Linked DNA regions of Callithrix jacchus. Each later gene encodes a partner of the first gene's protein in a complex. Links are inferred from orthologs where the notes say so. Each region holds a gene or a part of one and is shown on either strand. Other genes may lie near its edges.

Region 1 (4,146 bases):
ATAAATAACCTCAGTTCTTAGAATATTAAATAATTGTAGGAACTCAATTGAAGAAAATTAGAAATAAAATCTTAATTCAAACCAATGGAATGGTTCATTGGACTGCACTTGATAACCACTGCTTTGTTTTCAACATTTTAAGCAGGTAGATTTAGTGCTTTTAAAAAAAAAAAAGCACAAAGGCCTTCATCTACAGAAATTATGGTAAAGAAAGCTCTGTATCTAATGTTTCCCAGCTTCAAGTAGATCAGACAGAATTGGAACCTTAATGTGATGCAAATTTGACAACTCCCAATTTCTTTATCCCTGCTACGTTCCTTTTTTTTTTTTTTTTTTTTTTTTTCATAAAATCCAACTGCTTCTACCTGCAGAACAGGATTAAATTGCTCAGTTACTAAACTCCACCACAAAAACACCTCCCAAGAGAATCTCACTCCCACCAACCATGAAAGAACAAGATACATTATAAGGTGAAAAACAGACGCTTTTATTTATTGTATTGAAAACTTTATAAAATAATTTGCAGTTCTACATATGGGAAACTGCTTTGAATAACTGGGAAAACAGCTATTGCATGGGAAAACATATACAAACCAGCTTCACTGTCTCTAGACTAAGTTTTTCTTATTGATCTCATGTCATCACAAAGCAGCAACACCAGCTTCTAGGAAAATGGATAAACAGCAAAGTCCTGCAGTGAAACTATAATTAAGGTTGAACCATACATTACACTAATACTGCAACTTTCCTACAATCATTTTTCTGCCTATATAATTTTTCTTATAGGATTAACAACTAGCAAAACAAGGTAAGTTTGCAGAAAAACAAAATTAAAAACAAAAGAATTCAACAGAACACCCAGCATTAGAGGGACTAGGAAGGGCAAGGTCTTAATATGCAGTACAAGTAATAAAGCTAAGAATTTTCTACTGCTGACCAGTCTGAAGACTGAAATTCAGTAGCAGAGTTCTTTTTACTTCTCTAGGAGTGATTCTAGCTCCTCTTGCAAAGAGCTGAGTTGCTCCTTTTCTCGATCTTCCTTTTGCTTGAGCTCATCCAGTACAGCCTGAAATCTGTTCTTGAGAGCCAGATTTTCCACTTTCATGATGAGATCCTCTTGTCGTTTTGCCCTGTCCTGGGTCTCTTGGAGCTTGCCTTTCATGTTGTCAATCTGCTTCTGAATTCCCATAACCAGCTGATTGGTTCCTTCATTCTTTTGGTGCTGTTCGTCTGATGCATTTAACTTCTCCTGTAGCTGTCTCTCCAGATCTTCCTCAGTGTCAATGATGTTTATATCTTCTTCATCTTGATGCTGGGTCTCATCTTCATCCTCACTGCTGCTGCTGAGGTCATTGAATATCTCTCGAAGCTCATCATGCTCTAATGAGTCATGGCCCTGCCTGTGACCAGACATTCCTGGAGAAGAGATATCCAGGCCTTGATTTTCTGTCTCCTTTGTTTCATCTTCAGCAATTATTTCCCACCGAGTACTAACAGCTTCAGCATCTGTACTCAGCAATCGTTTCACTTCTTTCTCCACATCTGGAGATTCAATATACTTCTTCTTTGCTGTCTTCCGGAACCTTCTCTTCCTGACATTCTTTAGAGGCAGAGTAATTCCGTGGTTCCAGATGAACTTTTTCTCTTTGTCCTTATCCTTTTTCTTGCTAGCTTTAGGATCAGCGCTAGCAACTGGCTCCTCCACTGGAGGATAGAGATCACCATCAACTGTGGCTACAAGCATCTGAGAGATATCAGCTGTCTTGTAAAAGGTTTTCTTATCAATGGTTTTCAAGCTTTCCATAACACAAGGTAGGTCAACCAATTTTGAGGCCAATGGAACACGGTCCACTCTGACAATTCCATGACGCCCATCAGGGTGTAACTCAATTGTCAGTCTGTCCTTGAGGTTGACATGACCAGACTGTACTGCCCTTCTCACAGTAGAGGCATATTCTGGAGGCAGACGTAAGATAAACTGGCTCTCCAGTTCGTGAGGAGCATCATCTTTGCTTTTACTCATCTTTATTTCTTTGTGACTCACTTCTCCAATAAATGCTGGTTACACTGAAAAGTTCCAGCTACTGCAACAGTTTAAAACACCAGTTTGCTATGAATTGAAATCGTTTAATTACAAGAAGTTCTCTGTAGATCAGCAGCTAAGCGTCTATTTTGCTTCAGTTTTAAGTCCAAGTCTTTTCTCTAAATATGCTGTGACTGAATACCAGTCGTTACTGACAACAATGGCTTATTCACAGATTTTTCATTAAATCAGATGCAATGCCAAGTCCCAACCTCTAGGTGCCGCTGCCGGACAACGCGGATAGAGCTAGCTAGCTACAGAGCAGGAAAGCAAATGGCGGCTCCCGCGGAACGGTTTTCGGCCCAGAAAGCCCAGCAGAGACACTCCCAAGTCACAGACTCTCCCGGAACAAAGACATTCAAAAAATCGGGGCGCAGTAAGCTCTCTTCGCCTCGGGTACTTACAATCCAGTGACGATTATAAGTTCAGTTTCACCCGGTTGGAGCGAACAGGAGGCCGAGCGGAGCAAAGCGGGAGCAGGCCGAGCGGAGCAAAGCGGGAGCAGGCCGAACGGAGCAAAGCGGAAGGAAGCCGAACGGAGCAAAGCGGGAGGGAGCCCAGCGTCTCCTTCTCGTTTCCTTTGTTCTTCCTGCTGGTTTGCAGAATGATCCACTACCGATTACTGATGAAAGGGCCCGGGACGGGCAGCGCGAAAGCCTGACGAGAGCGGCAGCCCGCAGCACAACAACCGTCAACTCGCTGACCCTCCGACTGAGTGCCCAACCCAGCGAAAAAGGAAGTGCTACGTCACGGCGCGGGGCGGGAGGCGGCTGTGAGTGACAGCCCGCCCGGGCGGAAGTGCGGAGCCCGGCGTGCGCCGGCGCAATAGCGCAATTACGGTGCCCAGCGTGAAGTTCGTCTTTTCGCGAGAAATGTTCTTCCAGGATGAAAATGGCAGGGTTTCGTAAGGGCTGTTGGTTTCAAAATATTTAAAGGTTGGAAGTTCCAAGAAAGATACAGATTCATCCCCCGCTAAGCCAGCACTTTTACGGGATCGATTTGGGGCTCGATGGCTTTTAGACTTCCGGGTGATCCCCGGAGATGGAGTCCTTGCTTCTGGAAACATCTCGGATGCTCCCTAGGGTCTTAACCAATCTGGTGTCAATACAAGAATGTGTAGCTGCTATGCAATGGATTTTAAAGTACCCGAATTAGTGGAGTGAGGACATGCAGCTCGCTATATAATTCTCTCTCTCTCTCTCTCTCTCTCTCTCTCTCTCTCTCTATATATATATATATATATATATATTTTTTTTTTTTTTTTTTTTTTTTGACACAGAATCTCACCCTGTCACCCAGGCTAGAGTGCAGTGGCGCGCGATATTGGCTCACTGCAACCTCCACCTCGGGAGTTCAAGCTGTTCGCCTGCCTCAGCCTCTAGAGTAGCTGGGATTACAGGCACGTGCCACTACGCCCGGCTAAGAGAAGGGGTTTCACCAGGTTGGCCTCCAACTCCAGACCTGAGGTGATCCGCCTGTCTTGGCCTTCCAAAGTGCTGGGATTATAGGTGTGAGCCACCGCGCCCAGCCCACAGTCTACATTGTTTTAATTCTGAGAATGCCTGTAGGGGAATCCTACCTCTGGATTTACTTTTGTTCTGGAATACTCCTGGGGAAACAAGGATGATTCCTTTTTATGTGCTTGATTTAGATGTAAATGTAAACAGTGAAGGAAGTGTTCTTCTGGAAGCACAGGTTCATTTTGGACAGAATTGTCTGATAGCTGAGCATCTTTTTAAAGTAGATATAATGGAAGTATTGTTTCCTGCCTCTCTTGTAGCTAATTTTAAATTACTCTGGAAATTTTTTTTTGCACTATCTCTGTTTTGCTGTTTTCTGCTTGTCTTTTCTATGGCTAGTCAGGTATTCTTCAATGCATGCTTTTAGTATTTTGGCATAACTGGATAATAGTACTTATTTCTATTTATTTTTAAAATAAGATCTGTTTGGTAGAGCATAATGGCCATTAATACTTAATTTCTATCCTCTAAAATATTAATTGCCCCTAAATTTAAGAGAATTCTCTCAAGATGTAATTAACAGTTCCAAAATTCACTTTATTG
Region 2 (3,500 bases), on another chromosome or scaffold:
GCTTCTCCATTGTGTCTCTCTGCCTGCAGGGAGCGCTGCTTCAGGCTGCTTTCCTGTTTCTTATTTTGATAAATTAGAACTTTTAAAACATTTTCATATTCTTGACTTGGGAACAGTGTTTGACTTTTAAAAGCTGCTTAGGAGCCCTAAAGCTTAGTAAATGAGTGGCCACTTCCCCATTGGTGTACAGATTGTTTTCCACGTAGCATAGGGCAATACCTTTCCATTTTATCTGTGTGACGTTTTCTCAGTCTTATGGCATTAATTTTGGGGGCAGGGACAGTATTGAGTGATTCCTTTGTCCTAGAGTTTGATGTGGGTTGCCTGAACATCTGTGTGAATCAATACTTGTCCCAGGACTCAAATTTAGGACACGGTAGATAAGAATAGGAGAGTCAAGTGTTGCTAATTTTAATTTTCTGAGACAAAGATTTTATTTTGGTCAGATTACAAAGCCCAGTTGACTGCAGCGTTAGTAACTGAAACCCTCAATTGCTCTCGTGTTAGTAAGTGGAGAATTTCCTTTCTTTTTCTTTTTTTTTCTTTTTTTGAGACAGAGTTTCACTCTTGTTACCCAGGCTGGAGTGCAATGGCGCAATCTCGGCTCACCGCAATCTCCACCTCCTGAGCTCAGGCAATTCTCCTGCGTCAGCCTCCTGAGTAGCTGGGATCACAGGCACGCACCACCATGCCCAGCCAATTTTTTGTGTTTTTAGTAGAGACGGGGTTTCACCAGTTGACCAGGATGGTCTCGATCTCTTGACCTCGTGATCCACCCGCCTTGGCCTCCCAAAGTGCTGGGATTACAGGCGTGAGCCACTGCGCCTGGCCGAATTTCCTTTCTTAGCTATGTAGATGCCAGGTTTATTTAAAATTGGAGGTTATTTTTCTTTTTACTATAAATATGTATGAAGTAAAATAATATTTTTGTATTCCTTAATGTTAAAAAATTAAGACATTCATAGAATGAACAAGGAAATTAAAGGTAAGAGCCTGCATTTTTCTATGAGAACCGTAATCCTACTTATTTTACCAGATGTCTTTGCTGGACTGTTTAAACATTGATTAGGAAGCCATATATGCTTAGTAAGGTTTAGTTAAATTTTATTCTGCTTTTTTCTCTTTCTAGATAATCAGGAAATGAAATCAAGGATATTGGTAAGATTACAAAAATCATTACTTTGTTTATATGACAACTGTAGACAATTAGAAAACAAACTGGAGGCCAGGCGCCGTGGCTCACGCCTGTAATCACAGCACTTTGGAAGGTGGAGGCAGACGGATCACTTGAGGTCAGGAGTTAGAGACCAGCCTGGCTAACATGATGAAACCTCATCTCTACTCAAAATACAAAATTAGCTCGGCGTGGTGGTGCACGCTGTAATCGCAGCTACTCAGGAGGCTGAGGCAGGAGAATACCTTGAACTTGGGAGGCGGAGGACGTGCTAGAGTAAAATAACCTTGGTAGTTTGGGAAGGTGAGTGCCTTGCTAAGCACGATATGAAACTCAAAGCTTAAGATCTTGAAAATATGAAACTCCCAAAACAAGGATGAAGGAAAAAGTTTTAGGAAAAGTATTTCCAGCAGAGCTACCTGACAGAAAATTAACCCAATATTTCCAAAATAAAAAGCGGCTCTTATAAATTAGTTGTTAAAAGTCAAGCTTAAGAAAAACAGGTAGAAAACAAGCAGTCTGCAAAAGAAGAAATGCAAAAGGTCAGGTTAGCGTTTGACAGTATGTTCAGTGTTGCTAGTAAGCAAAACATGTCAAATAATGAGATTTTCATTGTTGCTCTGCACAAATGAAAAAACTGGCAGTTCCCAAGGTTGATGGTGCAGTTGGGGATTGATTGTTCTCATGCATTGCTGATGGGAGGGTAACTGGTAAAAATTTTTCTGGAGTGCATTTTGGTAATCTGTATCAAAATTAAATGTCCATATCAGTAATCAATCACTGCTTATTTCCTGGAAGTATTAGAGAGTTGTGCAAGGGTACATGAGGGTGTCATCAGAGCATTGTTTAAAATGGAGAACTGGAAACTGCTTAAATGGTGGATATTTATGAAGTCAGCAAGAAGCACAGTATATATTCTAATTCATCAACGTTAAAATATTTTTTCCCACATATATTGTGGACTGAAAAAGCAGGTTGCAGAATCCTAGGTAATCATCCTGACACCTGTGTGTGTATTTTGAGTGTGTGCATTTTGGGTGTGTGTATGTGTATCTTGGATGTATGTGTGTTTCCGGTGTGTTTGTGTGTTTTGGGTGTGTGTATTCTGGGTTTGTGTGTGTTTTATGCGTGTATTTGGGGTGTGTATACTTTGGGGTGTATGTATTTTGTTGTGTGTGTATTTTAGATGTGTGTGTGGGATATGTTTCTTGGGGGGTATATTTTGGGTGTGGGGGTATGTGTGTTTTGGGTGTATGTGTATTTGTGTGTATGTATTTTGGATGTGTATATTTTGGGGATGTGCTTATTTTGGAATGTGTATATTTTCAGGGTGTATTTTGGGTGTTTGTGCCTGTATTTCGGGTATGTGTATGTGTGTGTTTTGGTTGTGCATGTATTCAGGGTGTATGTATTTTGGATGTGGGTGTGTTTTGGGTGTATGTGCACGTGTGTATTTTGGGCATGTGTGTTTGGGGTGTATTTTGACTGTGTGTGTTTTGGGTGTGTTTATATTTTGAGTGTGTGTTTTGGGTGTATGTGCATGTGTCTGTATTTTGTGTGTGTATTTTGGGTGTGCATGTGTATATTTTGTGTGTGCATATGTGTATTCTGGGCGTATGTACATGTGTGTGTATTTTGTGTGTGTGTGTCGTATATACCTACCTACACAGGTGCTCTCGAGAATGAGTTCCTCAAACCCTTACGTGGACTGTCGCTGGGTGGTGGGATTTGGGTGGAAATGTTACTATCATCTTTATCCTTTAGGTATCATTTAATAATGATAAATGGGAAGACAGATTGGAATAATGTTGATTGTGGTTCACAGTATATTGTGTGACACTGGTGTGAGAGAACTGGGATGTGCCTGAGCGGAATTAACATGGCTGTGATTTTTAGGTGATTAAGGCTGCAGAAGACAGTGCATTGCAGTATATGAACTTCATGAATGTCATCTTCGCAGCACAGAAACAGGTGAACCAAGAGCCTATGTTTTAAAAGTATTTGTTTCATAAAGAAGGAGTGAGTTTCATTTTTTGAATGCTCTACTCTGAGATATTCTGATTAAATTGCCTTGTGAATGGGCTAGGAATCCAGAATCTGTATTGTGTTGTAGTCTTTTCTCTATTTTGGGTCCTGGACCACTTGAGAATCTGATGCATTTCCAAAACAATGTGCACTCAGCCACGGTTTTGCATAGAGTTTATGGTATTCAGGTCACCCTTAGCCCATCTTTGGACCCCATGCCAAGAATCCCTGGTTTGACAGTTTGCTGTATAAACCTTGCCTCAATTTCTTTATCATTTTGCTGTGGTGAGGTCTATAAAGA
Region 3 (3,500 bases), on another chromosome or scaffold:
AGTAAAAACAAACTGATGTGGCTGTTTCTGCTAGAAGAAATGTTCACGAGTGAAAGCAAGTATTAGAAGTTACCATTAATTCAACAATAATGAACTTTAGACTTGCCCTAAGGTAACAGTTTCTCCCAGCATTCAGGGGCGGATGTCTCTGTCTGTGTCACATTGCGTGTTAGACACGTGCGCATGCACTGAAAGCAGCTGCTCAGTCTTTCAGACTGGCTGTTCAACACTAGTGCCGTCATAGTTTTTGCATGGTACAGGGAGTAAATGTAAGAGGAGTAAGAGGAGAGATGCTTGTAGGCTATGGACTGGGGTAGGATTACTTCACAGAAAAGATAAGATTTGAGTTGAGCTATGACGTATGGCTGTGTAAGGGTATCAAGTATTCCAGGTTAGAGAATAGCAGACACTAAGCTGTCCAGGTGACGTTAAGCATAATCAAAATACCAGTAAGGTGATCAACTCCATATGCAGTCCACTCCAAGGGTGCCTGACAAAAATGTCAGCAGAGTGAAATCAGGTTATGGAGGGACTTAAAAGCTAGACAAGAGAATTAAAACATGTAGTAGAAAACATTGCATACTTGTAAGTCGGGGGCAGAGTATGATTGAAGTGGTATTTTAGGAAAATTCTATCGACAGTGATGTGGACAAGAGATTGAAGTGGGCAGAACTTTAGACTATAGTAGACAGTGACAGTAAGAATAGAGAGAAAGGAAAACATCTGAAATCATGGTTTAAAAAAAAAGTGGGGGGACTGGGCATGGTGGGTCACACCTGTAATCCCAGCACTTGGGAGGCTGAGATTAGGAGTTCGAGACCAGCCTGACCAACATGGTGAGACCCTGTCTCTACTAAAAATACAAAAATTAACCAGATGTTGTGGCACATGCCTGTAATCCCAGCTATTCGTGTGGCTGAGGCAAGAGAATCACTTGAATCTGGGAGGCAGAGGTTTCGGTGAGCCGAGATCATGCCATTGTACTCCAGCCTGGGCAAAAAGAGCGAAACTCTGTCTCAAAAAAAAAAAGGTGGGGGGGCATAGGATTAGAAAAAGTACCAAATTTTGGTTTGAGCCTGCAAAGGATATGGAGGAATCGAAGATGATTGTATTTTTTAGACTGAGAGTGTAATAATAGCTTTAATAGGAATAGAGGAGTCGAAATGCATATTGACATTCAGTAAGAGGAAGAGTATTCGTTTTATTTTTCCTTCTTTTATACATCACAGAAGTAACCCATACTTGTAGAAAGAATGTCAGTAAAAACAAACTGATGGTGTTTGTTTCTTCTGAAAGAAATGTTCTCAAGAAAGAAATGAAAGACTGCAGAAGTATGTGGAGTTAGAAGTCTCCTGCTTCCACCACCGGCTTCCCTCTGCTGCAGCTTCTGTCCCCTTGAGCTGTTAGCCATTGGCTGAATATCCTTTCAGACGTTTCTGTATGCATTACTGCACATGTGTCCAATTCTAGCAATATTTGGATTCTTTTTCATTTTACAGTGTGATTTAATTTTAGGCATACTGAGTTTGAAGTGATCAAATTTCAGGATTTCAGTTAAAAAGTCAGGTTTTCAGTTAAATCCTTTAGACTATTGAAAATCAGAAACTGGAGTTTTCATAGACGTTTTTAAGGATGTAGAGACCTTAAGCTCTGCTAAGGGTAGGCATAGGGAAAACTTGCTTTTATAAAGAAAAATCTTACTATATCTAACTTTTAATCTCTTGATTTCTGTTCTAATTACATTTGAAAATTTATAGGTAAATTGTAAATTTACCTATAAACCCTATAAAAATTTACCTATAAATCCTGGGTGCACCCAGGACTACCAGTGCACCACCACCATGCCCAGCCATTTAAATTTACCTATAAATGGCTGGGCATGGTGGTGGTACACTGATAGTCCCAGCTACTCAGGAGGCTAAGGTGGGAGGATGGCTTGAGCCTGGGAAGTCAAGGTTGCAGTGAGCCATGATCGCCCTGCTGCACTCCAGCCTGGGCAGCAAAGTGAGACCCTGTCTCTTAAAAAAATAACAAAAAACAAGCAAAAACCAAACTTTTATGATATAGATCTTCTTTGTAAATATTTTCAGGTTTTAAAAATTCATTTAATTGTATGATTCATTCAGTAGCTATTGAGTACCAGTTATGTGCCAGCCACTGTTTAAGATTCCACAGATGCATCAGTGAACAACAGACGAAATATAATGAACATTGGCTTCGTCAGCACAGCAACTATTTACTTGATGATTAAAAAAAAAAAACAAAAAAGGGCCAGACACATTAGCTTACACCTGTTACCCCACCACGTTGGGAGGCAGAGGCAGGAGGATTGCTTGAGGCCAGGAGTTCAACTTAGCCTGAGCAACACAGCGAGAACCCATCTCGACAAAATGAAAAAAAAAAAAAAAAATTAGCCAGGTGTGGTGGCAGGTGCTTGTAGTCCCAGCCACTCAGGAGACTGAGATGGGAAGATCGCTTGAGCCCAGGAGTTTTGAGGCAGCAGGGAGCTATGATCATACCACCACACTCCAGCCTGGGCAACAAGCAAGATGCCATCTTTTTTTTTTTTTTCCCAAGATGGAGTCTTGATCTGTCACCCAGGCTAGAGTGTAGTGGTGTGATCTCGGCTTACCGTAACCTTTGACTCCCGGGTTCAAGCAGTTCTCTTGCCTCAGCAACCCCCCTCCGCCGCCCCCCGAGTAGCTGCGATTATAGGCACATGCCACCATGCCTGGCTAATTTTTGTATTATTAGTAGAGATGGGGTTTCACCATGTTGGCCAGGCTGGTCTCAAACTCCTGACCTTGTGAACTGCCTGCCTTGGCCTCTCAAAGTGCTGCGATTATAGGCATGAACCACCTTCTCCAGCCAAGATGCCATCTCCTAAAAAAAAAAAAAAACAAAAAAAACCCACAGTATTTTATTATTATTTGGGGGGGCATTTTCTGTGTGCTAGCCACAGTTCCGGATGCTTTTGATAATACTTTGATATTTGTTCTAGAGTAGCTGATCATGAGTTGGATTTTTTCTGTGGTGTGCTGGCTAGTTGTCTGATCGTATTTGAACGTGACTTTAATAATCAGCTTAAGCATGATTCTGTGATATTCTATTTAAAATCTATTAAATTCTTTCCAATAACTAGGTTAAAATACTTGATTCTGAGCTGCATATTTATTTAACTACTTTTTCTTAATATTTAAAAATATAGTCATGGGATTTTCTTCAAATAATTTGATTTGCTTTTGGCTTTGTTTCAGATGGCCGAACAGACCCAATTTTGGATGATGTTGGTGAAGCTTTCCAACTTATGGGGGTTAGTCTGCATGAACTGGAAGACTATATTCACAACATTGAACCTGTCACTTTCCCACATCAAATTCCGTCATTTCCGGTTAGCAAGAACAATGTACTTCAGTTTCCTCAACCTGGAAGTAAAGATGCAGAGGAAAGAAAAGAATACATTCCTGATTACCTGCCACCCATTGTGTCTTCTCAAGAAG
Region 4 (4,115 bases), about 100 Mb from region 1:
TCAATAATTAGTGAAAACAGTCAATTTAAGTGATACAGGAAATCAAAATTCTAAAATAATTTTACTTTTAATGACTATAACTGGATAAATAAACTACTTGTGGTGTTACAAACGGAGTTTTTCACATGAACTCAATGACGTATTTGAGAAAAACAGAAAAAAAAAATTCACAAACTGTTCTACTTACCTTTTGTCATTAAAATCAGGCAATTCTATTTGAGTAGTTTATATACTGAAAATTAAAGTTTTCCTTATTTCAAATTACAGTTGCAGTTCTTCATTTCCAACATTTCCCAAAAAATAAAATACAATGAATTCACTTGCTGTGGACAAAGAATTTAAATCTTACTGTAAAACTGTTTTCATTTGATCATGTTATTAGAAAATTTCTTAGTAACACTGTTTTTCAATTGTGTTTTCAAATTCTTAAACCTTTATGCAAACTAGTGAATTCAACAATTTTAAGTTAGCCAGAAGAGAATTTTAATGCCTACAAATTTATACACTGGAAAGTATACTGAACTATTTTACAGTTTGGAGCACACATCGCCTATAAACACCCCTACGTACTAGAAAACAAATTGCTGGCCTTTCGTCCCAAATCGTTCACGGTTAGACTTTGACGTTTCAAATGGTACACAGTTGGTAAAAAAACAAACAAAACATTTGAGTAAATATAGTTTGTAGCTCGAAATAAAAGATGCAGACTGTTGTCACCGTCAGGACTCTATTCACTCTTTGAAAACAAGATTGACAATTACCTCCTTTTAAAAGCAGGTAACTGTCCCTGAAGATGCCAGATTCCTGAAATGAGATGTCAGAGGTAGACCTTCAAGACTATTCCTAGCCGACCCACCACCACCCCACACAGTGAACAGGGAATACTAAGGTCAAATATTCGTCCAACGTAATCCTGTAATCAGTAGGGTGCCGGGTTGAGCTCGCAAATCCCCGCTGCAGGACTGGGCTCTGCACCCTCAATCTTCTCATCCCCAGATGGGACGGGCGGGTCAGGAGGAGGAGCGACGAGAGCCCAAGAAGGCTTGAAGGCAAAGATAGACTCGCGTCTCTAAGACATATACATATTATAGCGGCAGCCGCGGCGGCCTTACGTTCCCGGAGCTGCATTCCCTTTTCGGCGAAGAGCGGAGGCGAACAGGATCTACCCCGAGTGAAAGGGTAGCCACCTGGCCGTATCCGGGCCTCTCTGAGGTACGGCCTCCCGGGGACCTTTCAAAATGGTCGGCGCATCCGCGACGCAACCGAAGGGCGGGGCCCGCCGGAGTGTGTGACTTAGGCATCCAGCGCACTGCCTGACCCGAAGCACCGACCCGAGTTATGCCCACCCTTCAACTTTGCGATGGAAACGTGTTAGGGAAAGCTAGGTAACTAGTGGGCCGCAGCTGGGCCGCCGGGGCAGGCCGGGGACGCCGCGGTGGGCCTGGAGGTCCTTGGGGCCCGTGGGCTCTCACTGCCGCCCGCCCCTTCCGGCTCCTCCCCGTAGTGCAAAGGGCGCTTGAGCGAGGTGATCGGAGCAGTTGCAGCGAGGACCATGTTGCTTCCGAACATCCTGCTCACCGGTCAGGGCGCGCGGCCGGGAGGGGCTGGGAGGGGGCAGGCGAGGTTTGCGGAGTGCTCTGGGCCTCGGGCCCCGCTCAGTGTTCTGTTTGGAGGCCTCCCGAGGGCCGCGAGGCGGCTGCAGCGCCCCGGGAGCCGACCCTCACGGGCTTGGCAGGAGGTGGGGGAGGGGATGCGGAACGTTAATTCCGGTGGCCCGAGACTTCCGGGGGAGGAGGAGAGAGGTCGGCAGATCAGCTCTCCTGCTTGGCAGTCTGCTTAGTCTTTCTGAATCTGGTATTTTGTGTGTAAAATGGGTTGTTGATTCTTTGGCAGGGTTGGCTTTGGGATTTTTAGCGAAATAGTGTAAGGTCACATCTGTTCTCCAGTAGAGCCATTAATGGTGGAGGCCTCACTCCTTAGGCCTCCCTGGGCCATATTTTATTTTTTCCTTTGCTCCTCAGATCAGATTTCGGGAAATGACTTTAGATGTTTGTGGTGTGACTAAATTACTGTATGCCTTTGTTGAGTTACATCAGAGGTTCTCCCCAGCCCCTTAAAGGAGAGGAATCTAGTGAGCATTTCGGGTCGTTTCTCGCGTAGGAGTGGGTCTTTGAAGCCATACTCAGGGTGCGTGTTACCGGTGAAGGAACTAAAATGCTGCTGCGTAACGACTTCATCGAATATTTTAGTCCTTAAAGTGTTTATTAAATTGTAGACCATTCGTGGAAAAATCTAATGCATGTAGATTTTATTGGAACGTACCGAAAAATTAAGAGTCGGTGGAAATAAAGCAGTAAAGTTACAGCGTTCATCTAAACATAAGATGATTTGCAGCGCACAAGACATGTCTGTTTCTGAGAGGTGCCGATTAACCAGGCCACAAATAATGTTTAGCATTTAAGATTTCTTAAGTGGAAGATATCACATCTTTTTGCATGGATCAAACATAGTGCCTTGGTTATTAATATTGTGTCATTGTCAAAACTTTAAAGTGAGCATTTTATTGAAAACATAATTGAGTCCAGGGTTCAGACTTGGTGAATTATAGTGGACTTGAGGTAACTGTTAATCTCTTCCGTGTGGGAACTGGATTATCCCTGTTATCTTTATGCTCAAGTTTAATTTCAGGGATGTTAAACCTGAATAGCTGAAAATTACAAATTTGATCTTGAAGTGTAATTATAATAGGTATCAAAAGGGGAAGGTAAGAAGCAATGTATAGTATGTAGTATTGTCATTTATGTAAAAGGGAATATATGTTGTATTTATGTATGTATATACAAAGTATGTATATACATGTACATTCATATGCAACATAAATAGGGTTTCTCTGGGAAGATATACATGTATGGGAAACTGGTTCACAGTGGTTGTCTCTAGGGAAGGGTGCAAGGGGTAAGACTGCTTACATTTTAACATGAACAGTTTTTGTTTTTGTTTTGGGACAGTCTCATTATGTTGCCGGGGCTGGTCTCGAACTCCTGAGCTTAAGCAATCCCCCTGCCTTGGCCTCCCAAATTGCTGGGATTACAGGCATGAGCCACCACACCTGGCTATGAACAGTTTCTTAATCTATTTAAATTAAAGCAAATATGCCGGATGGGTGGCTCATGCCTGTAATCCCAGTACTTTGGGAGAGGGAGGTGGGCAGATTGCTTGAGCTCAGCCTAGGCAACATAGCGAAACCCCATCTACAAAAATTAACCAGGGCATGGTGGTACACACTATGGCCTCGTCAACTGGACATGCTGAGATGGGAGGATTGCTTGAGCCCGGGAGGTTAAGGCTGCAGTGAGCCAAGTGCCACTGCACTCCACCTGAGCAACAAAGAGATATCTTGTCTTTAAAAAAAAAAAGTAAATAAATGACTGTAATTGATTTGAGGTGGTTAATTTTATTCTGAACAGTTCCATGGTAGTAGCAGGCAGTTTGAATCTGCGACAGAATCTGCTGAGCCTCACCCTTGAAGGATCAATAACTGGGTAATATTTTGACATTCAGTTAGCTTTGGAAAATTTTTATTAGATCATAGACATATTGAGGTGGCTCATGCCTGTAATTCCAGCACTTTGGGAGGCTGAGGTGGGCGGATCACCTGAGGTCAGGAGTTCGAGACCAGCCTGGCCAATATGGGGAAACCTCGTCTCTAAAAATTCAAAGATTATTAGCTGGGTGTGGTGGCAGATGCCTGTAATTCCAGCCACTCAGGAGACTGAGGCAGGAGAATCACTTGAATCTGGGAGGTGGAGGTTGCAGTGAGTTGAGATTTTGCCACTGCATTCCAGCCTGGGTGACAAGAAGGAAACTCCATCTCAAAAAAAAAAACTTACATATGATTGCTAATTAGAAGATTTTTCATTTCATTCATTGAGAACCTTAAGGGCAGAGACCAGGGGAGACTCTGTCTCAAAAAAAAAAAAAAAAAAAAAGGGCAGAAGGTGGGCTACAGTGTGATGAGTAGTATTTCACAAACAATATTTTTCTGTGGCTTATCTTACAGGTACACCAGGGGTTGGAAAAACCACACTAGGCAAAGAACTTGCATCAAAATCAGG
Region 5 (4,001 bases), on another chromosome or scaffold:
ACTCCTGGGCTCAAGCAGTTTGCATAGGAGTGTAACTTTGTGATTTCACTTTAGCCTCTCATTGGTTGCTTTCCACAACCAATCAGACTGATTGTGGCACCACTACTTCATTTAAACTATACCAAGTAACTTAATGGGAAACCGCTAGAGGGTATTTAAACCCCAGAAACATTCTAATGGGACTCTTGAGCCTGTATACTCTGTTCGCTCCCACCCTGTGGAGTGTATTTTCGTTTTCAATAAATTTCTGCCTTTATTGCTTCATTCTTTCCCTGCTTTGTGCGTTTTGTCTAGTTCTTTGTTCATAAACGCCAAGAACCTGGACACCCTCCACCACTAACCGTGTTATTGTTGTTAGTAGCAGTATTATTACTTTTTTGACATTAGTTTGGCTAATTAATCTAGGGATATTTTACAGTATCTAGATGTTCTGCCAAGTTTACTATACGTAGCTATCAGCAAAATTTGCAAAGGCAATGAAAAAACAAAATGATCAGAATAGCCCATAGCTTCATGCCTGTCGTACACACATTGCTCTCACATAGTTTTGTTTCATCTCCCAATTCTAAAAGGGTATGCAAGGCAAGATACTATAACCCAGATAAACCTAAGTAACCTATGTAAAGGACGTGCCTAAGAAGACAGCATGCTTGCTGATGACAGAGCCTGAACAGACACCTGTTCTGGATGACCTAAGTGAATTCTTTTTTTATTCCAAATTCCTTAGAAAGAATCACCCTTGGGGCACGTAGGAACTGGCTCTAGAGCTCCAATAGCCAGCTAAAACGGCGCCTAAAAAAAAAAAAAGAGAGAGAGAGAGAGAGAACTGGCTCAAATGGGAGCGCATGACGCGGGGTGGGTGGTAGCGGTGAGAAAGTGGGAGAGGAACGGGTGGTTAGACTTTTAGGGATGCAGGCTTTGGCATCACTATGAAGCCAGGGTTTTCTTCTGACAGGGTTTTAACTCTGTCAGATTGAGAGTAGCTCTGTTGTAGCCCCTTTGCAGGGTTCCCATGAGACTTTTCTTACCTTGACTCTCTTAGCAACATAGCAAACTACAGAAACAGAATAAGAACGTAAGAAATCGTGAAGCACGTGATGTATAGGACTCTGACTGTTCTTGGCCCTTCTCCCGACCCGTAGCCCCGCCCTGTTACGACTGCGTGGGTTGTCTATAAAGATTCATCTCTGCGCGTCTTTCCGCCACATTCGCTTCCTGTTTTCGGTGGTTCTGTTTTGGCTTGTTCCGGGCACCGCAGTGGCAGTGAAGATGGCGTCTACCAGCCGGTTAGTGTGTTTGTCCGAGCCCGGCGAACTAAGGGGCGGTGCCTCGGGCTTTTAGGCGGTCTCCGGGCAGCCTCATCGGGCTGAGCGCCTAAGGATATGGGAGAGAAGCGGCGGGACTGGCGGACCGGCCGGGACAAAGGCACTTCCAGACAGCAGGACTGTCGGGGTGTCGCAGGGGTTACCCAGCTATCGACGTTATTGCCCCGGCGTCCTGTGTCTTCTGTAGGCACCACCCTTTGTGGGTCCTGGTGGGCTTCTGTGTCCCCAGCCCTTGCCCTCGTGTCTTTTCCGAGTATTTCGATCTGCTTTTCTCTTTTTCTCCCCCTACGCTTGTTTTTTCATCTACGACCCAAACAATCAGGGGTCCACAATTTTCTCCTTTTCAAAGGGACGGGAAACAGTTCTAGACCCTTATCGGTCTGACAGCTAGGAAGTTGGGAACGTCAGCATTGGTAAGCCGGATGGAACCAGGTTACCATCGCAGCAGGCCTGGGAAGTGGAAGCTAGAGCCATCGAGAGTTGATTAGTTGCTTGCTAAAGGGTTTGTTTACAAATGTCGTTGCCTGTGTACTTCTGAAGAAAATCTTGTCTAAGAAAATTAGTTATACGTACTGGGAGGTCGTTCTGTAGTATATAGTTAAGAATGCAATGTACTCATATCTACAGGAAATGCATGTAGTATCTTCAGAAACAGCCTTTAATCTTGTGACCTGAAAAATGCTTTCAGACCCTAATTATATTTCTTATTACCACTATGAGGTAGATATTAGTATTTTTGCATAAGTGTAAACTGAGTCATGCCAATGTTGGCTTTTCCAAGGGTAGTGTTAGAGTGTAGAGTCTAAGATACCTGTTTCCTGTTATCCACACTTGGCCTCTGATTAACTAATGTTGTATTGAAAGTATCAAATGAGTTCTACAGCTTCCGGAACTCTGGCACTGTTTTTCTGACCCTGCCGTCGTCTGTGGAATTGGTTAATTTCATAGTGAAAGCCATTTTCACAGAATAATTAAACCTTTTCTGGTAACTGCCAATATTTTTTTTGTGTGTGGTTAGAAAAAAAGAGTTTGGGGTGGGAGGCAGCTTTAGCTAATGTACTGTTCGGATAGAGAACCCTTAAAGCCAGTGACACACTTTGCTGATTTTGATTCTTTGATTGGATACTCATTCTATCTGGGTGGTGTTCTGTCAGGTAAGGCCTCCTTGTAGGTAAATGGAAAACTTTAGCTTCCCCAAATCACTCAAATACGACTTAAGTTCTATCGTGGCTTTTTTTTTTAAGTCTGAAATTTTTTCTAGATATCTGCAATTTGTGTCATTGCAGTTCCAGTTTTTCTACCAGTGACAACAAAGTGTTAAATGTATTTTTCTTTTCATTTTTTGGAGGAGTCTCTTGCTCTTTCGCCTGGACTGAAATGCAAGTGGTACAATCATGGCTCACTGGAGCGGTGACCGCCCCAGTTCAAGTGATCCTCCCACCTCAACCTCCTGAGTAGCTGGGACTATAGGCGCACACCACCGTGCCTGGCTCATCTTTTTATTTTAAAATTTTATTAATTTTTATTTTTGTAGAGACAAGGCCTCATTAGGCTGCCCAGGCTGGTCTCGAACTCCTGGGCTCAAGCAGTCCTCTGGCCTTGGGCTACCAAAGTGCTGCAATAACAGGCATGAGACACCGTGCCTAGCCTAAATGTTGTATTTCTGCCTTTTGCATGTTTTTCCCTCGGGAAGATCTACTGACTAGACTATGAAACTGGCTGGTGTCCTCACCAAAGAGTACAAATGTGCATTCAAATGTAAGCTCCACCACTTACTATGACTTCGGCAAATCATTCTCTGAGCAAAATCTTTAAAATGGAAAATAGTGCCTTTCTTGCAGGATTGTTATGGAGATTGACAGTAATGTATAACACCCGTCATATAGTGCATCCCCAATAAATGATAGCTATAAATGGAGTTGGGGATTATCTGGTACTTTAGTAGTCTTATTTTAATGTCAGTGGTGGTGGTTTCTCTATTCCTTCCCTATTCTCTGTTACTATGTCCACCACCTGATTTGTATGGTTCCTCTTTTGTATTGTGGGTAATTGGATTAAAAGTTTACTAATTTAGCATACTTTTATTTTGATAGGTAAAACATACAAATCGTCCAAAAGCAAAAGCACGAAAGACTAAAATCATGAAAAGTAGTCTCCCTCGTTTCTTGGCTCCCAGCCATCTAAGTCTCCCCTGATCATAGTTACTAGTTTCTTGGTGTTTTCCTAGTACTTAAGCTTTAAAAAACAAACACAAATAGTTCTAACTGCTCTTCTCCCGAAAAGTGTCCTAATTTAAACTCTCTTCACTACCTTGCTTTTACCTTTTTTTTTTTTTTTTTTTTAATGATGTTAGGGCACAGATTTTAAAAGTGGGCAGCTCAGTTACAAAGTGAGCACATATATAAAGCTAGTACTCGGGTAAGGAAATCAGATACTGCTAGCACTAGCTAAGACACTAGCAAAGTCTCTCTCCTCAGTCATTCCTCCTCCTTAGAGAAAACCACATCCTGATTTCTAACACCATAAATTTGTTTTGGCTGCTTTAAAGTTGGCATAAATGGCATTTTATTCTGCTCTCTAGTACCTGTCAGCATGTTGAGGTTCATCCATGTTATTGTGTATAGCTAATTCACACTTTTTCAGTTTTGTATAGGTTTTCTACTTTACTGTTCTTAT
Region 6 (2,528 bases), on another chromosome or scaffold:
TGGGATTACAGGCTTGAGCCACTGCACCTGGCCTAGATTTTTTTTCTCCAGTGGACTTTGCTCATTTCTGCTGCCAAAAGTAAAGATATAAGAAAAGCATTGTTTCCTATGATCCGTGTTAGAGGAAGTAAAAAAATAAATAAATAAAAGAAAAGCAATCCCAGGGCTGACCTGTATGGGATGGTAAGTTGTCCCTAATGTAGTGATCCCTGGGAGCTGCCCCCGTTATTGAGTAAAAAGCCTGGCTGTTTCCCATTGCTACTCTAGCTGGTGAATTTTTTTATTTTTTAAGCAGGAGATACATACTTTTAAATTATTACTATTTTTTGAGACAGGGTCTTGCTCCGTTGCCCAAGCTGGAGTGCAGTGGCATGATCTTTAGTTTTTTTCATGTTTTTTTTTTTCTTTTACAAATCATCAATTAAGATGGTGTACAAAATGAGATGATAACAGTGGTGTGATCATAGCTCACTACAACCTCAAACTCCTGAACTCAAGGGATCCTCCTGCCTCAGCCTCCCAAGTGGCTAGGACTGTAGGCATGCACTACCACACCTGGCTAATTTTTAATTTTATTTTTATGTAGTTATTTTTTTGAGACAGGGTTTCACTCTGCTGCCCAGGCTGGAGTGCAGTGGCATGATCATGGATCACTGCGACAGCAGGTCCTGGGCTCAGGTGATCCTCCTGCCTCAGCCTCCTCAGTAGTTGGGACCACAGGTGCACACCACCACCCTGGCTTTTTAATTTTTTTGTAAAGACAAGGTTTTGCCATGTTGCCCAGGCTGGTCTCAAACCCCTGGGCTCAAGCAAATCCTCCCACCTTGGCCTCCCTAACTGCTGGGGTTATAGGCATGAGCCATAGCATGCGGCCTATAAGAAATATGTTTTAAACTGCTGTCTATGATAAAGCCTGATATGAAATGTTATACTAAAACTAATGTGATACATTTTATATCATTCTCTTAAAGTAAAAATGTCTTGGTTTATTTCCTTAGCAAGCTTAAGAAAGGTTAACGAGAATTACAGGACTCAAAAGGATTATGTGATTAGTAAATTCTTGTGTGATAATAAGACTTTCTCCTTACCCTCTGTTTAGCACTGGATGTGTGTGAGAAATGGGGAGAAATGCCACCACTGCAACCCAAACATATGAGGGAAGCTGTTAGAAGGTTAAAGTCAAAAGGACAGATCCCTAACTCGAAGCACAAAAAAATCATCTTCTTCTAGACCAAAGTCTAGAAAGGCCTGTTACTGACAGAAGAAGTATTGGTTCCGGACTTCCTGTAAGACTGGCTACTGGTGCTTTAGTATCTCAGTCCTCCAAGGATTCCATGATTTTAATGTCTCTCAAAACTCTTGATTATTCGTCACACCTAGAAAGTATGTAGCCTGTTTGATACTTGCCTTGACTAAATTTTGGGACCTCTTGGGGCATTTTGAAGTATTTGTCTTGGCCAGTTGGAAGAAGTGTGGGCCATAAACATTTTCTGGACAGGAGAACTGCTTTCAGAGAGAAAAATCTTTCCAAGAGGTTTTTTTTTTTTTTTTTTAGATAGGGTCTTGCGTGTCACCCAGGCTAGAGTGCTGGAGTGCAGCGGCATGTTTGCAGCCTTGAATTCCTGGGCTTAAGTGAAGTGACACTCCCACCTCAATCTCCTGAGCAGCTAGGACTACAGACACACACTACTGTGTCCAGTTAACTTATTTTTATTTTTTATGGACATGGGGTCTTGCTTTGTTGCCCAGGCTGGTCATGAACTCTTGGCTTGAAGCAGCCCTCCTGCCTCAGCCTCCTTAAGTGCCAAGAGCTTTAATGGTTTCACATTGAAGCCTAAAGTTGCTAAGACTTAGTTCGTTTCTTACAACCAGTTTTAAGTAGATGAAACAACCAGAAACTTTGACTTGTGATACTCTACCATGAAGGACGTGGTAAAGGCAGGAATCGTGGAATAACTGGTGCTTGTAAACATTTAAGATTCTCCTGTGGATTTTGGTGAGTGATCATTAAACTGTTTTCCAACTTGCCTTATGTGTATTCATTTTCTGTCTAGCTGGTGGTAATGGGAAGTTGATTATTTTCTGGTGTTCCAATACAACTGGTTTTGGCTATTTTGTGAAAATTTGAGTCCTTTTTCTAATAAAACCATTAAAATTTTCTCTCATAAAAGAGTACTTCAAGCACTGTTAAAAACAATGTAATAATCTCCCCCTAAAACTGAGAAAATAAACAATATAAAAGCCCATATATTTCAGATGCTTATCAACAGATATACAACAACCATTATGATTTAATAAATTTAATTTGTTTTTACAGGTGGTTCACAGAACCAGTACACTCAAAGTTTGACTAGATATTGCAACATTGAAGTTTCCCAATACGACTGGGATTCCAGTTCATCAGATACATTCTCATTGTTTTTCTCAAATGGAGGGGAATGAAGTGACCTTTTATTGACAGTGATTCGCAGTAATAAGGCTACTGTATGTAATTGGCAATCCCCAATAATTTTTCCTCTCTACGGAAG
Region 7 (3,500 bases), on another chromosome or scaffold:
CACTGAGGAAGTTACTAGTATTCCCACATGCAGATAAATAAGCTGAGGCTTAAAGGGAGTACAACTTGCTCAGGATGCACATGGCTCCCAAACCGTGGAGCCAGGATTTGAATCTGTTTCCAGAGCCACGCCCTTGGCCTCCTCATAGACAAACTCAACTGTCACCTGTGAGCTCTGAAAAGCCACCACTACCACCCTATTCCTAAAAGAAGTCAGTATTTATATTGAAGATAAACAGGCATGAACTGCCTCAGTTCTCTCAAAGTAAGTATCTTTTGGAAAAACAAGAGCTAAGTGTTTTCAGAAAACAAAAAAGCAAAACCCTGCTTTCTCCTCTAAGGAACTCTCAGTAAATAAGGGTAAATACAGCCATTTGTGTCCACTGACCCTTTTCATTTTTCAGTGTTCTTCAATAAATTAGTGGATAATTACATAAGGATAAAGATATACTAAAAAGTAACTTTATTAGAAATTTTAATAAAAATTTAAACAACAAACTCCTATTTTCATTATACATTTTTCTGCTTATGAAAGTATATATACTTGAAATGGGCAATGCCCTCTGAATGTATCAGCTGCTCAAAAACTGTCTTGCATAGACCTGGAAATCACCATCCCAAGAATATTGATTCCAGATTTCAAATGCATAGGGTTCAAATAGCTCACTGTTGCTTCTGGTTCTTTTTCTTGTACTCTCAAAATGCAATACTTGTGAAAACTTGATGGCTCATAATTTTGTTCAACAGAGAATGGCAATCTAAGATACACAACTGTAAAGCCAATTAGGGTGATCAACACAATGTTTTCATTTCTGTATCATCTCTTTCCTTCGAATCACCTTTGTATACACACCTGCCTTTAGTGTTTGTTCACTTATGAACTATATCAAGTAGATTTTAGTCACATAGTTGTTGAATGTATTCTCATATATTTTCAATAATTTAATAATTACCTTAATTCCTTTAAGCCTACAAGATTTAGAGGGCACTGAATTACAAACTAGTAGGGCTCTTAGTAGATAGTGGAAATTCAGGAATGTGGATGACTGGATGCTCTATAGAGTGTCAGGACAAAGGCACTGGTAAGAAACAAACACCTGACTGGACTGTTTATGATTTAAATCAGAAATGCAAACTTAAACATCCCTGGGAGTCAGACAGGCATGCTGGACACATGGGAGTGGTGTAGACAAGGGTGAGCTAACAAGGCTCTCTCTAAAATCACTAAAATTATTTTTAAAATTGTGCGTGGGTTCAAACAAAATTGTGGAGGAAAGATTTAGGTCTTTGGGTGAAAGTTAGCATCCACAATTACACACCACTTAGTTCCAAAAATGATCAGAGATAGCTTATAAGTTAAAGGCCACGATGGGCTGTTATCACACCACTGTACTCTGGCCTGGGAAACAGTGAGACCGTCTCAAAGAAAGGAAGTGGGGATGTTACAACCATGCGTGTAACAAGATGAACACATGCAGACAGGAAATACTAGATCTAAAGGGAGTAAGAAGGAGGGAGGTATCTGTACAAGAAAACTGAGGAGATGCAGAGACTGCAAGTAACCTTTTCATTTGGTCATAAGCTTTCTAAAATGAAAAGGTATACACTTCTTATTGACTGGGATTATTTGGAAATACTTGCTTGGTTTTTCAGGAAGATGAAATTATTTCCTACCCCAAGTACCCTGTTACATATAGAACCCACTTCATTTAGGTAGAAAAATCCATTTAGGACAAGAACAGTCATTCTCACTTTGTGGGAAGGACACAGGCCTTCAAAGATTTATATCTTTGAAGATATAAATCACAAGCTAAATCACAACACTGTGATTCAGCGATATCAGATACAGGGAAATGTCTATAATAATAACAGTGGAATTCAGATTAAATTTTGTTGTTTCAAGTATATAAACACAAATGACCACATTTCTGAACCTGTTAAGAGAGCCTTTCACTGAGGGCACTAAGACAGCTTTGCTCCCTTTCCCAAGTGTGAGATAAGGCAATTTGATACACAGTCGCCATCAGTGCCACTCCCTTAATAGAAGGATGCATCTAAAAACAGAGCAGGAACACAGCTCAAAGGGACTCCTAAGGGGGAGGACATATAAAACAGCAAGTACTCACTGCAGCTGCGGTACAATCCCAGAGCTCTCAGAAGCCGGTGTGGCAGGAGTGATGGGCGTCATGGGGGTCATGGGGGAGGGATACAGTGGAGTGGTGCCTGGCAAGGGTGCAGTTGTGAGAGTCTGTGAGTGGAAGAGCTGTGGTGCCTGGCCTGAGGTTCCCTGTGTCGCCTGCTGGGACGTTGCCTGCTGGGATGTTGACTGCTGAACGGCTGCGGCTGCCACTGCCTGCTGCTGTTGCTGCTGTTGTTGCTGCTGCTGCTGCTGCTGCTGCTGCTGCTGCTGCTGCTGTTGCTGCTGCTGCTGCCTTTGTTGCTCTTCCAAAATAGACAGACTATTGGTGTTCTGAATAGGCTGTGGGGTCAGTCCAGTGCCATAAGGCATCATTGGACTAAAGATAGGGATTCCAGGAGTCATGGCACCCTGTGGAAAGCAGGGAGAAAAACAGGTTAGGCTAGCTGGTGCTAAGTGTTGGTGGAACTTTCCTGGTAGAACAGCAGGTGAGATGTGCAAAGGCAGATGCCTTCTGAGAATAATGGGGTTGTTAGACATTAATTAGGGAAGAACCTGCTATTCTTAAACACATTGCTTTCTTCCTTAATATCCCATAGTGGATAAACATGAAGAAAAATTGATAAACTGAGCTTTGGAAAATTAAAAACTTCTGTTCTTTGAAAGACACCACTGAGAAAATTAAAAGGCGGGCCACAGACTGGGAAAAAAAATACCTGAAACACATACATCTGAGAAAGGTCTGGTAAACAGAATAATAAAGAGCTCCGACAACTCCATAAAAGAAGATCAACAAATAATTAAGAAGGGCAAAAAATGTGAAGGACATATTACAAATGAAGATACAGGCATACCTTAGAGATACTACGGTTTAGGTTCCAGACCATCTCAATAAAGCAAGCAGTATGAAGTTTTTGGTTTCACAGTGTCTTTAAAAGTTATGTTTATACCATATTGTAGTCTATTAAGTGTGCAATAGCATTATGTCTAAAAATATGTATATACTTTAATTTAAAAATGCTGTATTGCTAAAAATGCTAACGATCAGGTGAGCCTCTAGCAAGTCATAATCATTTTGCTAACAGAGGGTCTTGCTTCAGTGTTGATGGCTGTTGACTGATCAGGGTGGTAGCTGTGGCAATTTCTTAAAATAAGACTGATGACGTTTGCCACAGATTCTTCCTTTCACTAAAGATGTCTCTGTAGCATACGATGCTGTTTGACAGCATTTTACCCACACTAGAACTTATTTCAAAGTTGGAGTCAATCCTCTCATACCTGCTGCTGCTTTATCAACTAAGTTTATGTAATATTCTAAATCCTTTGTCAGCAGTTCAACAATGCTCACAGCCTCTTCACCAGGA

What was found.
Region 2: TAF7 (region 1) and GTF2H3 share a complex: the UniProt entries of both Homo sapiens proteins name them as parts of the TFIID-containing RNA polymerase II pre-initiation complex. The link is inferred for Callithrix jacchus from reciprocal best matches to the Homo sapiens genes TAF7 and GTF2H3.
Region 3: TAF7 (region 1) and TAF3 share a complex: the UniProt entries of both Homo sapiens proteins name them as parts of the TFIID basal transcription factor complex. The link is inferred for Callithrix jacchus from reciprocal best matches to the Homo sapiens genes TAF7 and TAF3.
Region 4: TAF7 (region 1) and TAF9 share a complex: the UniProt entries of both Homo sapiens proteins name them as parts of the TFIID basal transcription factor complex. The link is inferred for Callithrix jacchus from reciprocal best matches to the Homo sapiens genes TAF7 and TAF9.
Region 5: TAF7 (region 1) and GTF2B share a complex: the UniProt entries of both Homo sapiens proteins name them as parts of the TFIID-containing RNA polymerase II pre-initiation complex. The link is inferred for Callithrix jacchus from reciprocal best matches to the Homo sapiens genes TAF7 and GTF2B.
Region 6: TAF7 (region 1) and TAF11 share a complex: the UniProt entries of both Homo sapiens proteins name them as parts of the TFIID basal transcription factor complex. The link is inferred for Callithrix jacchus from reciprocal best matches to the Homo sapiens genes TAF7 and TAF11.
Region 7: TAF7 (region 1) and TBP share a complex: the UniProt entries of both Homo sapiens proteins name them as parts of the TFIID-containing RNA polymerase II pre-initiation complex. The link is inferred for Callithrix jacchus from reciprocal best matches to the Homo sapiens genes TAF7 and TBP.

What each region holds. Positions count from the first base shown.
Region 1 is NC_133503.1:39,749,875-39,754,020, forward strand, and holds TAF7 (transcription initiation factor TFIID subunit 7), read right to left. Parts: upstream 2,801-4,146; 5' UTR 2,024-2,800; coding exon 974-2,023; 3' UTR 467-973; downstream 1-466. UniProt on the Homo sapiens protein: The TFIID basal transcription factor complex plays a major role in the initiation of RNA polymerase II (Pol II)-dependent transcription.
Region 2 is NC_133510.1:126,833,931-126,837,430, forward strand, and holds part of GTF2H3 (general transcription factor IIH subunit 3), read left to right. Parts: intron 1-955; coding exon 956-985; intron 986-1,129; coding exon 1,130-1,158; intron 1,159-3,070; coding exon 3,071-3,145; intron 3,146-3,500. UniProt on the Homo sapiens protein: Component of the general transcription and DNA repair factor IIH (TFIIH) core complex, which is involved in general and transcription-coupled nucleotide excision repair (NER) of damaged DNA and, when complexed to CAK, in RNA transcription by RNA polymerase II.
Region 3 is NC_133508.1:6,114,534-6,118,033, reverse strand, and holds part of TAF3 (transcription initiation factor TFIID subunit 3), read left to right. Parts: intron 1-3,257; coding exon 3,258-3,500. UniProt on the Homo sapiens protein: The TFIID basal transcription factor complex plays a major role in the initiation of RNA polymerase II (Pol II)-dependent transcription.
Region 4 is NC_133503.1:140,123,910-140,128,024, forward strand, and holds the start of TAF9 (transcription initiation factor TFIID subunit 9), read left to right. Parts: upstream 1-1,315; 5' UTR 1,316-1,385; exon of another isoform or gene 1,386-1,552; coding exon of another isoform or gene 1,553-1,802; intron 1,803-3,467; exon of another isoform or gene 3,468-3,542; intron 3,543-4,060; coding exon of another isoform or gene 4,061-4,115. Other genes in the region: cell cycle checkpoint protein RAD17, read right to left, coding at 188-197; AK6 (adenylate kinase isoenzyme 6), read left to right, coding at 1,553-1,802, 4,061-4,115. UniProt on the Homo sapiens protein: The TFIID basal transcription factor complex plays a major role in the initiation of RNA polymerase II (Pol II)-dependent transcription.
Region 5 is NC_133508.1:126,117,452-126,121,452, reverse strand, and holds the start of GTF2B (transcription initiation factor IIB), read left to right. Parts: upstream 1-1,201; 5' UTR 1,202-1,269; coding exon 1,270-1,286; exon of another isoform or gene 1,287-3,069; coding exon of another isoform or gene 3,070-3,083; intron 3,084-4,001. UniProt on the Homo sapiens protein: General transcription factor that plays a role in transcription initiation by RNA polymerase II (Pol II). Involved in the pre-initiation complex (PIC) formation and Pol II recruitment at promoter DNA.
Region 6 is NC_133505.1:43,120,438-43,122,965, reverse strand, and holds the end of TAF11 (transcription initiation factor TFIID subunit 11), read left to right. Parts: intron 1-1,099; coding exon 1,100-1,230; 3' UTR 1,231-2,028; downstream 2,029-2,528. UniProt on the Homo sapiens protein: The TFIID basal transcription factor complex plays a major role in the initiation of RNA polymerase II (Pol II)-dependent transcription.
Region 7 is NC_133505.1:177,185,679-177,189,178, reverse strand, and holds part of TBP (TATA-box-binding protein), read right to left. Parts: intron 2,548-3,500; coding exon 2,126-2,547; intron 1-2,125. UniProt on the Homo sapiens protein: The TFIID basal transcription factor complex plays a major role in the initiation of RNA polymerase II (Pol II)-dependent transcription.